3 linked regions of the Oryctolagus cuniculus genome follow. The protein of the gene in region 1 purifies or fractionates together with the protein of each later gene. This does not show direct contact. Links are inferred from orthologs where the notes say so. Each region holds a gene or a part of one and is shown in the gene's direction. Other genes may lie near its edges.

Region 1 (3,644 bases):
GATCAACGACGTCGTGCCTCCCAAAAGACGCAGTGCATTGAGGGGTTGGGGCCGTGTGAGTGAGCTCAGCTTCCACAGGGGTCCCGTCTCCTGCAGCAAGCATCCGTGTCCGTGCGGAGCCCACCCCGGCCTCTTCAAGGAAGACTCGGTGCTGGTCCTGTGGGGTCTGACCGCGTGCCTTTCCCTGTGTTGCAGGTCGTGGTGATCTTCCTTTTCCTGGGCCTGCTGGGGGTCAGCCTGTACGGGACCACCCGAGTGAGGGACGGGCTGGACCTCACAGACATCGTCCCTCGGGAGACCAGAGAGTACGACTTCATCGCCGCGCAGTTCAAATACTTCTCTTTCTACAACATGTACGTGGTCACGCAGAAGGCCGACTACCCGAACATCCAGCACTTGCTGTACGACCTGCACAAGAGCTTCAGTAACGTGAAGTACATCATGTTGGAGGAGAACAAGCAGCTTCCCAAAATGTGGCTGCATTACTTCAGGGACTGGCTGCAGGGTAAGACACAGCCCGGGGTGGGGCCTCTCGGCCATCATCCACAGCGCCCCGCATTCTGTTGTGCGTTGGGCTTCCGTCTGCTCCTTTTGTCCCTGTTACTAAAGTGTTGGGTCATAGTGTCACGCTGACACGTTTTCACAGACTTCCAAGTGTTGCTTGGAACCCAGGAACTTCCGTAAGAATTTGTGGGTACATGTTAGGAAAGGGGGGACAATCATGTTATAAAATAAGGAGCCAAATGACTTCTGTTGCTCTTGTCCTTCGGGCTGGTGGCCTGTTTGGTGACATCTATTTGAATGGCAGACTGATGGAGATAGAGAAAAAGAGGTCTTCCATCCACTGGTTCACTCCCCAAATGGCCACAGCAGTCTGAGCTGGGCCGGGCCAAAGCCAGGAGCCAAGAGCTCCATCCAGGTCTCCTACATGGATGGCAGGGGTCCAAGTACTTGGGCCATCTTCTGCTGCCTTCCCAGGCACATTAGCAGGGAGCTGGATCAGAAGCAGAGCAGCCAGGACTGGAACTGGTGCTGCACTATGGGATGCCGACGTCACAGACAGTGGCTTAACCCACTGCACAAAGCCAGCCCCTCATTTATATTTGAACAGACTAGATTTTTAGAGCAGTTTTGGGTGCACAGTACAATCTGAGTGCAAGGAGCGCTCTCCATCTGTCCCATGCACAGCCCCCCTCTGCCATAAGCAGTCCTCCATCAGAAGGGGCATTTGTCACAATCCAGGAACCTACACTGAGGCTGCATTATCAGTCACCCCAGAGCCCATCGTGTGCATTCAACTTCCTTTTAACCATCTTGGATTTGGCAAGTGAAGTCAATTGATAAATGCTTGATCACACTTCACATTAGGTCATAAATCATCAAATCCTGTCCTAAATGCCTTTCTTGGCTTCTTATCTTGCTCTTAGAAACGTTTCTAGGAAATGCTAGTCAACTGGAGAAGAACAGAATTGTCTAAATCCGCTCCTGACTGCTGACTGAACACAAACGTGTTCTGTGATTCCAAGAACATCTGTTCATTTATTCTGTGTTGACACATGCACGGTGAAGGAGAGACTTGGGATAATTATCCACACAGTTCAAGCAATGATGCTTTTACTGGAATACCCAAATAATTATGGCCCCAACATTTTTTTTGGCTGAGATTATCCAAATGATTGTCTTAATTTCCCACTTAATTAGCCTTGTTTAAATACAGATTTAAGTGCCCTTTTTTTTTTTTTTTTTTTTGGTCTTTCTTAAGTCAATACACAATTTGATTGTAAAGATTAAGCAGTTTCCATGTGAGCTTGCATGATGTGGCAAACAAGTTGAGTCTGACCAAAAATGGTTCAGTATGGTATCTGGCCTTTACTTAAGGTTCCTAGGATTTTTTTTCCAAATGTACATGCCAGATTTGGCTGATGTGTGGTGGAAGGTGAAGAGAATATTGTGTGCCGTGATTATCGTCACGCAGCCTGCTCATCAGACTGACTTGAATGTGTTCCAAGTGTTAACTTTTTTACACTTAGTTTTGAAAGCAATGGCTTTTGGGTCATGAGTCAGGAAAGAACCAGAGATTCCTTGGTTTTCATTTCATTGACCAAATCATGCAAGTAATGTGCCACCAGTGACAAAGACCTGCTGGGTGACGCCAGTCCCAAGCACCAGAGCCGGCCCTTGGCGGCCCAAGTCCAACAACGTGGCGATTGGGCTTGAAAATCCTTTTATTTTTTTCAGATGCATTTGAATCACGTTTAGATTGTTAAGTGGAGCAACTGGACCTGTGTGCTCAGGACTCCCTACACCCAGATCAGATCCGGGGGCCCTTGGCTGCTTACCCATCCTTTAGGCTTCTTGCGTGGTTGGCTTGGTCTGTGAACATTTCCTCCCAGGAAGAAATTAGCCTGGAGTCAGCTTCCCTGCCAGACGATTTCCAGTGGTGGTTCAGTGATGGAAGCCTCTTTGGTTTTTTTAGTGGAATCACCATTCAAACCGTGTCACCTCATTGGTCTTGATCAACATCATAGCAGTGTTTGAGTTCACTCATAGAAATAACCTGTGTGACATCTTGGACCATGCATGCAAATGAGAAGATGTTAGAGGGAGAAAGCCATGCTGTACACCTGTGCAAATGCCATTCATTTATATTTCTCATTGAATTTCACAAATGGAATTTGGAGGAACATTTTCTCTTTAGGATCCTACATTTGAAAAAAAAAAAAATGGACAATTGGGATAATTCCTTAAGCCAGAACTGTATGCCAGAAACTAGTTTTTAGTACACATTATTTATAATGAGAGACGCTCCAGCTGTGGTTATAAGGTTTTGCAGTAAACTGAGTAGAATCGCAGTCTTTTGCTGGCAGCCCACGGTCACCTCTCGTTCTGGGTCCAGGCTCAGTGCATGCACCTAGGTCAGCCTGTTGTCCCTTGAGCTTTCTTGTCGCTGATCAGAAAATGTGAAAATAACCCTGCAAGGTCCTGGATGTTGGCGTAAAGTCGAGAGCTCGCTCTTGGTCATCTTGGAACCTGCAGTGAAGCGTGTTGGTAATGAGTTTTGACCAAGTCGCCTGCAGGGTTGCCCTATCCAGCTCTGGTCTTTCTTCCTTTCTATGACAAGTCCGTGGTGTCCCAAAAGTCTTGGAAAATGCCTTAAAACAGCCCTTGGATTCTGGGGACCCTCTGGCCCCGGATGTTGTGGGTGCCTGAGTTAACTTTGTTAAGCTTGTACATGTCGTCAGTGAGTGCTTCTTGGGCACCACGGTGCATCCGGGGCACTGAGCAGTTTGTGCCAGCCCTGGCATCGGCCTGCCTGGTTTAAGCCCAGCTCCGACATTTCAGAACCTCACCTTTCTGGCCTCAGTTTCCTCATCTGTAGAGTGGGAATGCAAAACCACTCATGGGATCGTCAGGGGCTCTCTGTGCGTGAGCTGCCCTTGGGATTCAGAAAGGACCAGGGAAATCAGGAAGTGATGAAAATTCTTTTATGGAGAAGAAAACAGGCCAGGCCTCCCTTTTAGGGGTCTGGGGGGAGGGAGCGGTTGTTTCTCCTCTCCTGTTTATTTTTTTTCAAAAACAGAAGGGGAAAAAAAAAGACTGTGGGTCATAAAATGACATCTGTTCAGTGCGGCTGTGTGCAGGCC
Region 2 (3,644 bases), about 140 Mb from region 1:
CTTTTTTTTTTTTTTTTTTTTTTGATAGGCAGAGTGGACAGTGAGAGAGAGAGAGAGAAAGGTCTTCCTTTGCCGTTGGTTCACCCTCCAATGGCCGCCGCGGCCAGCGCGCTGCGGCCGGCGCACCGCGCTGATCCGATAGCAGGAGCCAGGAGCCAGGTGCTTTTCCTGGTCTCCCATGGGGTGCAGGGCCCAAGCACTTGGGCCATCCTCCACTGCACTCCCTGGCCACAGCAGAGAGCTGGCCTGGAAGAGGGGCAACCGGGACAGAATCTGGCACCCCGACCGGGACTAGAACCTGGTGTGCCGGCGCCGCAAGGCGGAGGATTAGCCTAGTGAGCCGCGGAGCCGGCCCAGGCGGCGGCTTTACCCGCTGCGCTGCAAGGCCAGCTCCTGGCGTGAGAGACGCTCCGGCTGAGGCTTGGCTTTTCTGTAATGGTTAAGTGCTTCTCCCTAAGTTGCGGTATAATTCGTAAGACAGGACACTCAGCACCTGCCGCGTGCAGCTGGGGGGTCTCTGTACAAACGCACCCCGGATGGAGCCCTGCCCCTGTGGCGATCGCGCCCCCACCCCGCAGCCCGGCCACCACGAAGCTGCTGTCCACCGTCCCCGGGCTTGCCTGCTCCGGCGGCCGCATCACGCTTCCAGGCTCTGTCCATGCGTGTGCCGGCCTGTGCCGGCGCGGGACCCTTGGGGGGGCAGCCACCACGTGTGCCTGCCTGTCCCCTGGTGCGTGAGGCCTGGCCGAGTTCCCAAAGCCAGCGCGTGGCAGCGGGAGGCCACCTGCTGGCCACCCTGGCCTTTGGGGCCGGAGCCCTGGCGTGCAGGCTCAGGCTCCCGCGGAGCCCCCCGCCCCACCCCGACCCCCGCTGGCTGTGCTTTGGGCCCCGCCCACCGTGCCCCTCTGCCCGCAGCATCCGCAGTGTCATGCAGAAGTACTTGGAGGACCGGGGCGAGGTGACGTTTGAGAAGATCTTCTCCCAGAAGCTGGGTGAGTGCCGCAGCCCAGACCCCTGCGGCCGGGGCTGGGAGCATCCCCACAGCCAGGCAGCCCTGTGGCGGGCTGTGACCCCTCGTGCCTGTGTCCGCGGAGCCCCGTGGTGGGGGTGGGGCCCGGCCGTCCTCCAGGGTCGCCGGGGAAGTTCCTCCTTGAGGTTTTTGTTTTTGAGAGTTGCAGCTTCCCCTGGCGCGGCCGCAGCTGCTCTGGGCGGTTGGTAGGACTGGCAGGAAGAGGCGGGGCCCTTCCTGTGGGCCTGCCGCTGTGGCCAGCCCGCCCCGCCCCCACGGGCCCTCGCAGCACCCTGCCTTGGCCCGGCTGCCGCCGGCTTCCTCCCCGGGGCCTGTGCGGGTCTGGGGAGCATTGTGCGGCCGCCCTCGGGGCTGCGGCTCCAGCCTGGCACAGCTCCGCCCTGGCCTCTCCCCGAAGACCCCGGCTCTGAACCGGGGGTCCTGGGCAGGATGGAGTGTGGAGGGCAGCTGGCGGGGTCGGGGGCACTCCCTCGAGTTCCCAGTCCCGTGCTGTGTGACCCTGGGCACGGCGCTTCACCTCTCTGAGCCCGATGATGACATCCCCTGGGAATGGGACTCAGCCCCCCCCCCCCCCACTGCCAAGGACCCGGGGTCGGATCAGGTGGTGTCAGCCGTTCCAGGAAGCCGGCCACAGCTTACCCCAGGGCTCCACTGAAAGGCCCGGCTGCCCTTGCCAGAAATGCTGGCCACAAGTCCTGATGGAGGTGCCCAGGCGGTGGAGGGTGTGGACGGCACCGGCCACGGCCCCCAGAGGCACAGGAAGTCCCCAGCACAAACCGAGTCGCCCTGTGGGCCGGATGCCCCTGAGGGGGCGGGGCTGCCCTCAGCCCTGCCTGTCCCGGGCAGCTGCTCAGGGGCCTGCGCGGGGGGGGGGGGGGGGGGTGAGGACGTCCTGTCCAGGACCTCCTGCGGCCCATCCTGTCCCTTCACCCTCCCATGCCCCTGGCACAGAGACCATCACCCTTTGGCCTGTCCTTCCCGGTGACCAGCCGCCGGTCACCTCGGCACGTGCCTTGTGATTGACAGGGCTCCCTGTGCCTCAGTTTACCCAACCTGCCCTCACTGCCTGTTCCTCTGGGCTGCCGTGAGGATGACCCCGATGACAGAGGGAGCGAGGTCGGGGAGAGGGGCGCAGCCTGACTTGGCTCAGGCCCCCAGACGGGACCTCGGCCTCTGTACCTGCACACCCCAGCCTCGCCGTGGGTGGTCAGGCTGCTGGACTGCATGGGGGGCGGGGCCCAGGCCTGCCGCCTGCCCCTGTGCAAGCACGGGGCCCCGCCCAGCCTGGAGTCCAGGGGCCTTCAGGGTGGCGGCACCGCCTCTGCTGTCCCCTTGGCCACTTTGATCCAGGGGGCCCCCCCACGCCGTCTGCAGCAGCGCTGTGGCTCACTGGCACCCCACGCGCTCGCTTCCAGGGTACCTGCTGTTCCGAGACTTCTGCCTGAACCATCTGGAGGAGGCCAGGCCCTTGGTGGAGTTCTACGAGGAGGTGCGGTGGGCCTGCCCGGGGAGGGGGCGGGGCCGCCCCGGGGGACTCACGAGACCCCCCCACCCCCAGATCAGGAAGTATGAGAAGCTGGAGACGGAGGAGGAGCGCGTGGCCCGCAGCCGGGAGATCTTTGACTCGTACATCATGAAGGAGCTGCTGGCCTGCTCGCACGTGAGTGGCCCCGGCCGGCCCGCGGGTGGGCGAGGGAGGGCGAGGCCCTGCGAGGGCTCACGGCCGCCTCTGTCCCCCCAGCCCTTCTCCAAGAGTGCCACCGAGCACGTCCAGGGCCACCTGGTGAAGAAGCAGGTGCCTCCGGACCTCTTCCAGGTGTGTGCTGGACTCCGGGGGCGGGGCTGGGCCTGCCCCCCCAATCCCGAGGGGCAGTCACCAACCCCAGCCCCTCCCGTAGCCCTACATCGAAGAGATTTGCCAAAACCTCCGAGGGGATGTGTTCCGGAAGTTCATCGAGAGGTGAGTGGGGGGCTGGCATGGGAGGGCGGGGCCGGAGCCAGCCTGGGCGCTGTGAGCATCCGGAGGAGCACCCCGAGCTGGGGTGCTGGGGGTGTAGGCGGAGTCCAGCTGGACGCAGGGCACAGCATCTGCCCGGCTCAGTGGGCTCTGGCCGGAGGTGCAGGCACGGGCGGGTGGGCCCCGAGCAGGCCGTGGTGGCAGGAAGTCTTGGGTGGGCGGCCGCCTGAGCTTATCTGGTCCCGGCAGGAGCCCACAGCACAGCTGTGCGGCCCCGGAAGAGGACGCTGAAGCGTGGGGCGCTGTCACACCCACCCGACGGGACCCCCGGCAGGGGCAGGGGGCGGGGGCAGGCTTGCGCCAGCTCCGAGCTGCGCTGCCCTCTCTGAGCCTGCCTGAGCCGGGCGCTTCCCTTCCAGTGAGAAGTTCACCCGATTCTGCCAGTGGAAGAACGTGGAGCTCAACATCCACGTGAGTGGGCGGGGCGGGGGCGGGGCGGGGGCGGGCCCAGGGCGTGCTTGAGGGGCGGGCCCAGGGCGCGCTTGAGGGGCGGGCCCAGGGCACGCTTGAGGGGCGGGCAGCCAGGGCGTGCTTGAGGGGCGGGCGCCAGGGCGTGCTTGAGGGGTGGGCCCAGGGCATGCTTGAGGGGCGGGCGCC
Region 3 (3,744 bases), on another chromosome or scaffold:
TATGGGATAAGGTCTAACAAAGGGGCCAGCACTTGCTACCTGCAGTTCCAGCATCCCATCTGGGTGCCAGTTCGCGTCCTGGCTGCTCTACTTCTGATCCAGTTCCCTGCTAATGTGCCTGGAAAAGCAGTGGAAGATGGCCCAAGTCCCTGGCTCCTGGTTCAGATCAGTGCAGCTCCGGCCATTGCAGTCATCTGGGGAGTGAACCAGCGGATGGAAGACCTCTCTCTCTCTCTCTGCTTCTGCCTCTGTCTGTAATTCTGCCTTTCAAATAAAATAAATAAATCTTAAAAAAATGTTAATGACAGTTAAATCTGGGTAAAGGGTGCAGGGATGTTCCTTATAATTGGGTGTTTACAGCTGTTGGATAGGATATTTTTTCCAAATAAAAAGCAAAGCGACTGGCTTTGGGAAACCACGCAAGCTTTCAAAAACCAACTAATCAGAAGCAATATGGCAAGTTGACATTCTTCACATTTTTTTACTTATTTGAAAGGCAGAGTGACACACACAGAGAGGGAGAGGCAGCAGTTATCTTCCACCTGCTGGTCATTCCACAAATGTCTGAAGGAAAACCGTATGGGAACTCCATCCTGGTGTCCCGCATGGGTGGCAGGGCCCAGGCCCGGGGCTGGCCCAGCCTGGGCAGCAGGCGAGATGGGCGGTGGCCTCTCCAGCTGGACCCATCAGCCCCGAGGCGGGCATTCTTGAGAGACAAAGTCGTGGGAAGAAAAAAAATCACAGCTCCACAAAGAAAGGCAAAAGCAAACCACGGTCACCCAAACACCCCTGAGTTCCGGCCCCGCGCGGCGAAAGTCGCCGGGTCCCCGGGCTTCAGCGCCGTCCACCCCCGAGGGCCGCTGCAATGGTCACCTCAGGGCACGCACGGCCATGAAAGCCTGTGGTTAGCCCGAAGGAATCCCCGCTGCCACCGTGGAGGCAGACCGCGTGCACCGCCACGCTGGACTGCAGCCGGAGCTGCTTCACCCGCTGCGGGCACCGCGCACCGCCCTCCCCCGACCCCCGTCGCAGCTCAAGGCCAAGGCTCCGCGGCTCCGCTCCGGCAGCCCAGCCGCGCCCTCCCGCCCCGCTGCCCCGCTGCCCCGCTGCCCCGGGCGCCCGCGGGCCGCAGCCCGGTCACGTGGGAGCCGGGAGGGGCCCGCCGCGGCCGCGCTCTGCGCCCGCCCCCTCTCGAACGTCCTCGCGCGGTCGCCCTGGAAACGCATTCTCCCGGCCCCGGCGCCCGCCAATGCGGAGGGAGCGAGTGCCGCGAACCGGCCAATGAGGAGGAGCGGAGCGGGGTTTAAACCTGAGCAGGGGCCGGCGCCTCCCGGCGTGCTGCGCAGGAACGGCCGGCTGTTGGCTTGTGGAGGCTTCTGGTCCGCGACGGGTCGGGGCCTCCGGTGTGCTGCGTGTGCCCGCCGCCCGCCGCCTGTCGAGGAGGAAGCCATGGCGCTCCGCGTCACCAGGGTGAGTGGCGGCTTGCCTGCTCGGCGTCAGGGGGCCCTGGCGCGGGCCGGGCCGGCGCCCCGGGAGTGGTGGGGAGCCCGGGGCCGGCCCAGAGGGAGGCAGGGGGCCGCGGAGGTCCGGGAGGTTTGGGGCTGGAGAGAGGGCCCTGGGGAGCCCGGAGCGGGGCCTTTCGGTTTCCTTTCAGATGTAAATTCGGATGTCTTGGGGCTGGCCGGCACTTCATTGGAAGCCCCTGGGTTGGCGAACGAGGGGGTTCTGGGAGGAAGCGGACTTGCTGGGGCCGTGGGCCGGACCCTGGAGCCCTTGTTCCCCGCTCGAACCCGTGCCCAGTGCCCCGCCCTGCGAAGAGCCGCCTCTCTTGTGGCCCACCTTCATTATCCCGCGGTTGACTTGCCTCTTTCAGAACACGAAAATTAACGTGGAAAACAAGGGGAAGATGACCATGGCAGGCGCCAAGCGTGTGCCTGTGGCCACCGCTGCAGCCTGCAAGCCCGGGCTGAGGCCCAGAACGGCCCTGGGAGACATTGGTAACAAAGTCAGCGAGCAGCTCCAGGCCAAAGTGCCTCTGAAGAAGGTAGCCGCCCCTCCGCCTCCCGCCCCCACCCCCCACCCCTCACCCCCAGCCCTGGCCTGCGCAGGGGCATCCGTTCTCTCTCTCGTCTGCAGGAAGCCAAAACTCTACCTACTGGGAAAATCCCTGCTAAAAAACTCCCTAAACCTTTGGAAACGGTGACTGTACCGGCATCTGAGCCGGAGCCGGAGCCCGAGCCCGAAGCTGAGCCTGTTAAAGAAGAAAAACTCTCGCCTGAGCCGATTCTGGTAAATGCATTCTACCCGTTTAGAGGCTGTTGATTGCTTGGGATAGCATTTGAATAAACAGTGACAGTAGCAAGTAGTGAGTGCGTCCCAGGAAGCAGGCTGTGCGGAGCACCAGGCAGGCACGGACTCACACGGCCTTTACATGCACACAGTCTTCACAGGAAACGCCCGCCGTCTACATGTCCAGTCTCGGTCCAGGCGTCCTTTGCCTTCATCCCTCGAAACAGCTCAAGCATCAGCTCCTGAAGTTTTTCCTGTCCTCCCCCACCCCCACTCCTGTTCCTGGACTCGGTCACCTTATTTGTCTATACTAAACTCAAAGCCCTTTGGGGATGCCATTAAGTCAACGCTTAGTACAGAGTCTGACTTGAAAAATGCGCTTGGAAAGTGTTTGAACAATGGGGTAAAGATGGCTAGAAGGAAATGGTAACTAGTAATGAAAATCAGTTAATTTCTGGTAGTCAGGACAGAACTTGTATTCTGAGTAGTGAGAAGCAGTCCATGTTTTTTAGCAATACAAAACCAATGTCTTTTATTTGGATTGATTTCATATGATGGTGGTAGGTTCACATACATAGGTGTCGTATAATGGTGATATAACGGTTAGGTTCATTACCTAACCGTTTCCTTTGGAGGAAAGTCTAGGACGCGATTTATTTGCTTCTCTTTCACCTGTTAGTGTTTATGTTCTGCTGACTTTAACTTGGCTAAGTCTAAGTTGATGTTTCACTTTTGATATCACTTCCTAAAAAATATAATACATCTGGAAAGATACTTTTCCATTAAGGAACTGAATTATACGTCAGTTGTCTGATCTCCATTCCCAGTCGTGGCATGTGCTCCTCTTTGCTGTTGCTTAAGACATGTCTCTGTTCCAGGTTGATACTCCCTCCCCAAGCCCGATGGAGACGTCCGCATGTGCGCCTGCAGAGGAGTATCTGTGTCAGGCGTTCTCGGACGTGATTCTTGCAGTGAGTGATGTGGACGCAGAGGATGGGGCTGATCCAAACCTTTGTAGCGAGTATGTGAAGGATATCTATGCATACCTGCGACAGCTTGAGGTCAGTATTGCTGGACTGTTTTTTCCCAAACAACAGCTAGCTTTATTAAAGATGTTTTTCTATCAACAGTCCATAGTAATTCAAGCAGGATATAGGCAGTATTTCTTTGTTTCTATTTTTTTTAAGATTTATTTATTTGAAAGCTTACAAATAAGAAAGATTTTATTTATTTGAAAGTTACAGAGAGAGGTAGAGACAGGGAGAGATCTTCCGTCCGCTGGTTCACCCCAGATGGCCGCAACGGCTGGAGCTGTGCTGATCTGAAGCCAGGAGCCAGGAGCTTCCTCCGGGTCTCCCACGTGGGTGCAGGGGCCCAAGGGCTTGGGCCGTCTGCTGCTTTCCCAGGCCATAGCAGAGAGCTGGATTGGAAGAGGAGCAGCCGGAACTAGAACCG

The links.
Region 2: the proteins of PTCH1 (region 1) and GRK2 purify together in Homo sapiens (affinity purification with western blotting; 3 studies listed by BioGRID and IntAct, with this or other methods). This does not show direct contact. The link is inferred for Oryctolagus cuniculus from reciprocal best matches to the Homo sapiens genes PTCH1 and GRK2.
Region 3: the proteins of PTCH1 (region 1) and CCNB1 purify together in Homo sapiens (affinity purification with western blotting; 3 studies listed by BioGRID and IntAct, with this or other methods). This does not show direct contact. The link is inferred for Oryctolagus cuniculus from reciprocal best matches to the Homo sapiens genes PTCH1 and CCNB1.

The regions. Positions count from the first base shown.
Region 1 is NC_091432.1:142,102,859-142,106,502, forward strand, and holds part of PTCH1 (protein patched homolog 1), read left to right. Parts: intron 1-195; coding exon 196-505; intron 506-3,644.
Region 2 is NC_091432.1:4,741,581-4,745,224, reverse strand, and holds part of GRK2 (beta-adrenergic receptor kinase 1), read left to right. Parts: intron 1-915; coding exon 916-992; intron 993-2,445; coding exon 2,446-2,519; intron 2,520-2,588; coding exon 2,589-2,690; intron 2,691-2,771; coding exon 2,772-2,846; intron 2,847-2,928; coding exon 2,929-2,990; intron 2,991-3,406; coding exon 3,407-3,458; intron 3,459-3,644. UniProt on the Homo sapiens protein: Specifically phosphorylates the agonist-occupied form of the beta-adrenergic and closely related receptors, probably inducing a desensitization of them. Key regulator of LPAR1 signaling.
Region 3 is NC_091445.1:90,145,701-90,149,444, forward strand, and holds the start of CCNB1 (G2/mitotic-specific cyclin-B1), read left to right. Parts: upstream 1-1,305; 5' UTR 1,306-1,449; coding exon 1,450-1,470; intron 1,471-1,873; coding exon 1,874-2,044; intron 2,045-2,136; coding exon 2,137-2,289; intron 2,290-3,167; coding exon 3,168-3,350; intron 3,351-3,744. UniProt on the Homo sapiens protein: Essential for the control of the cell cycle at the G2/M (mitosis) transition.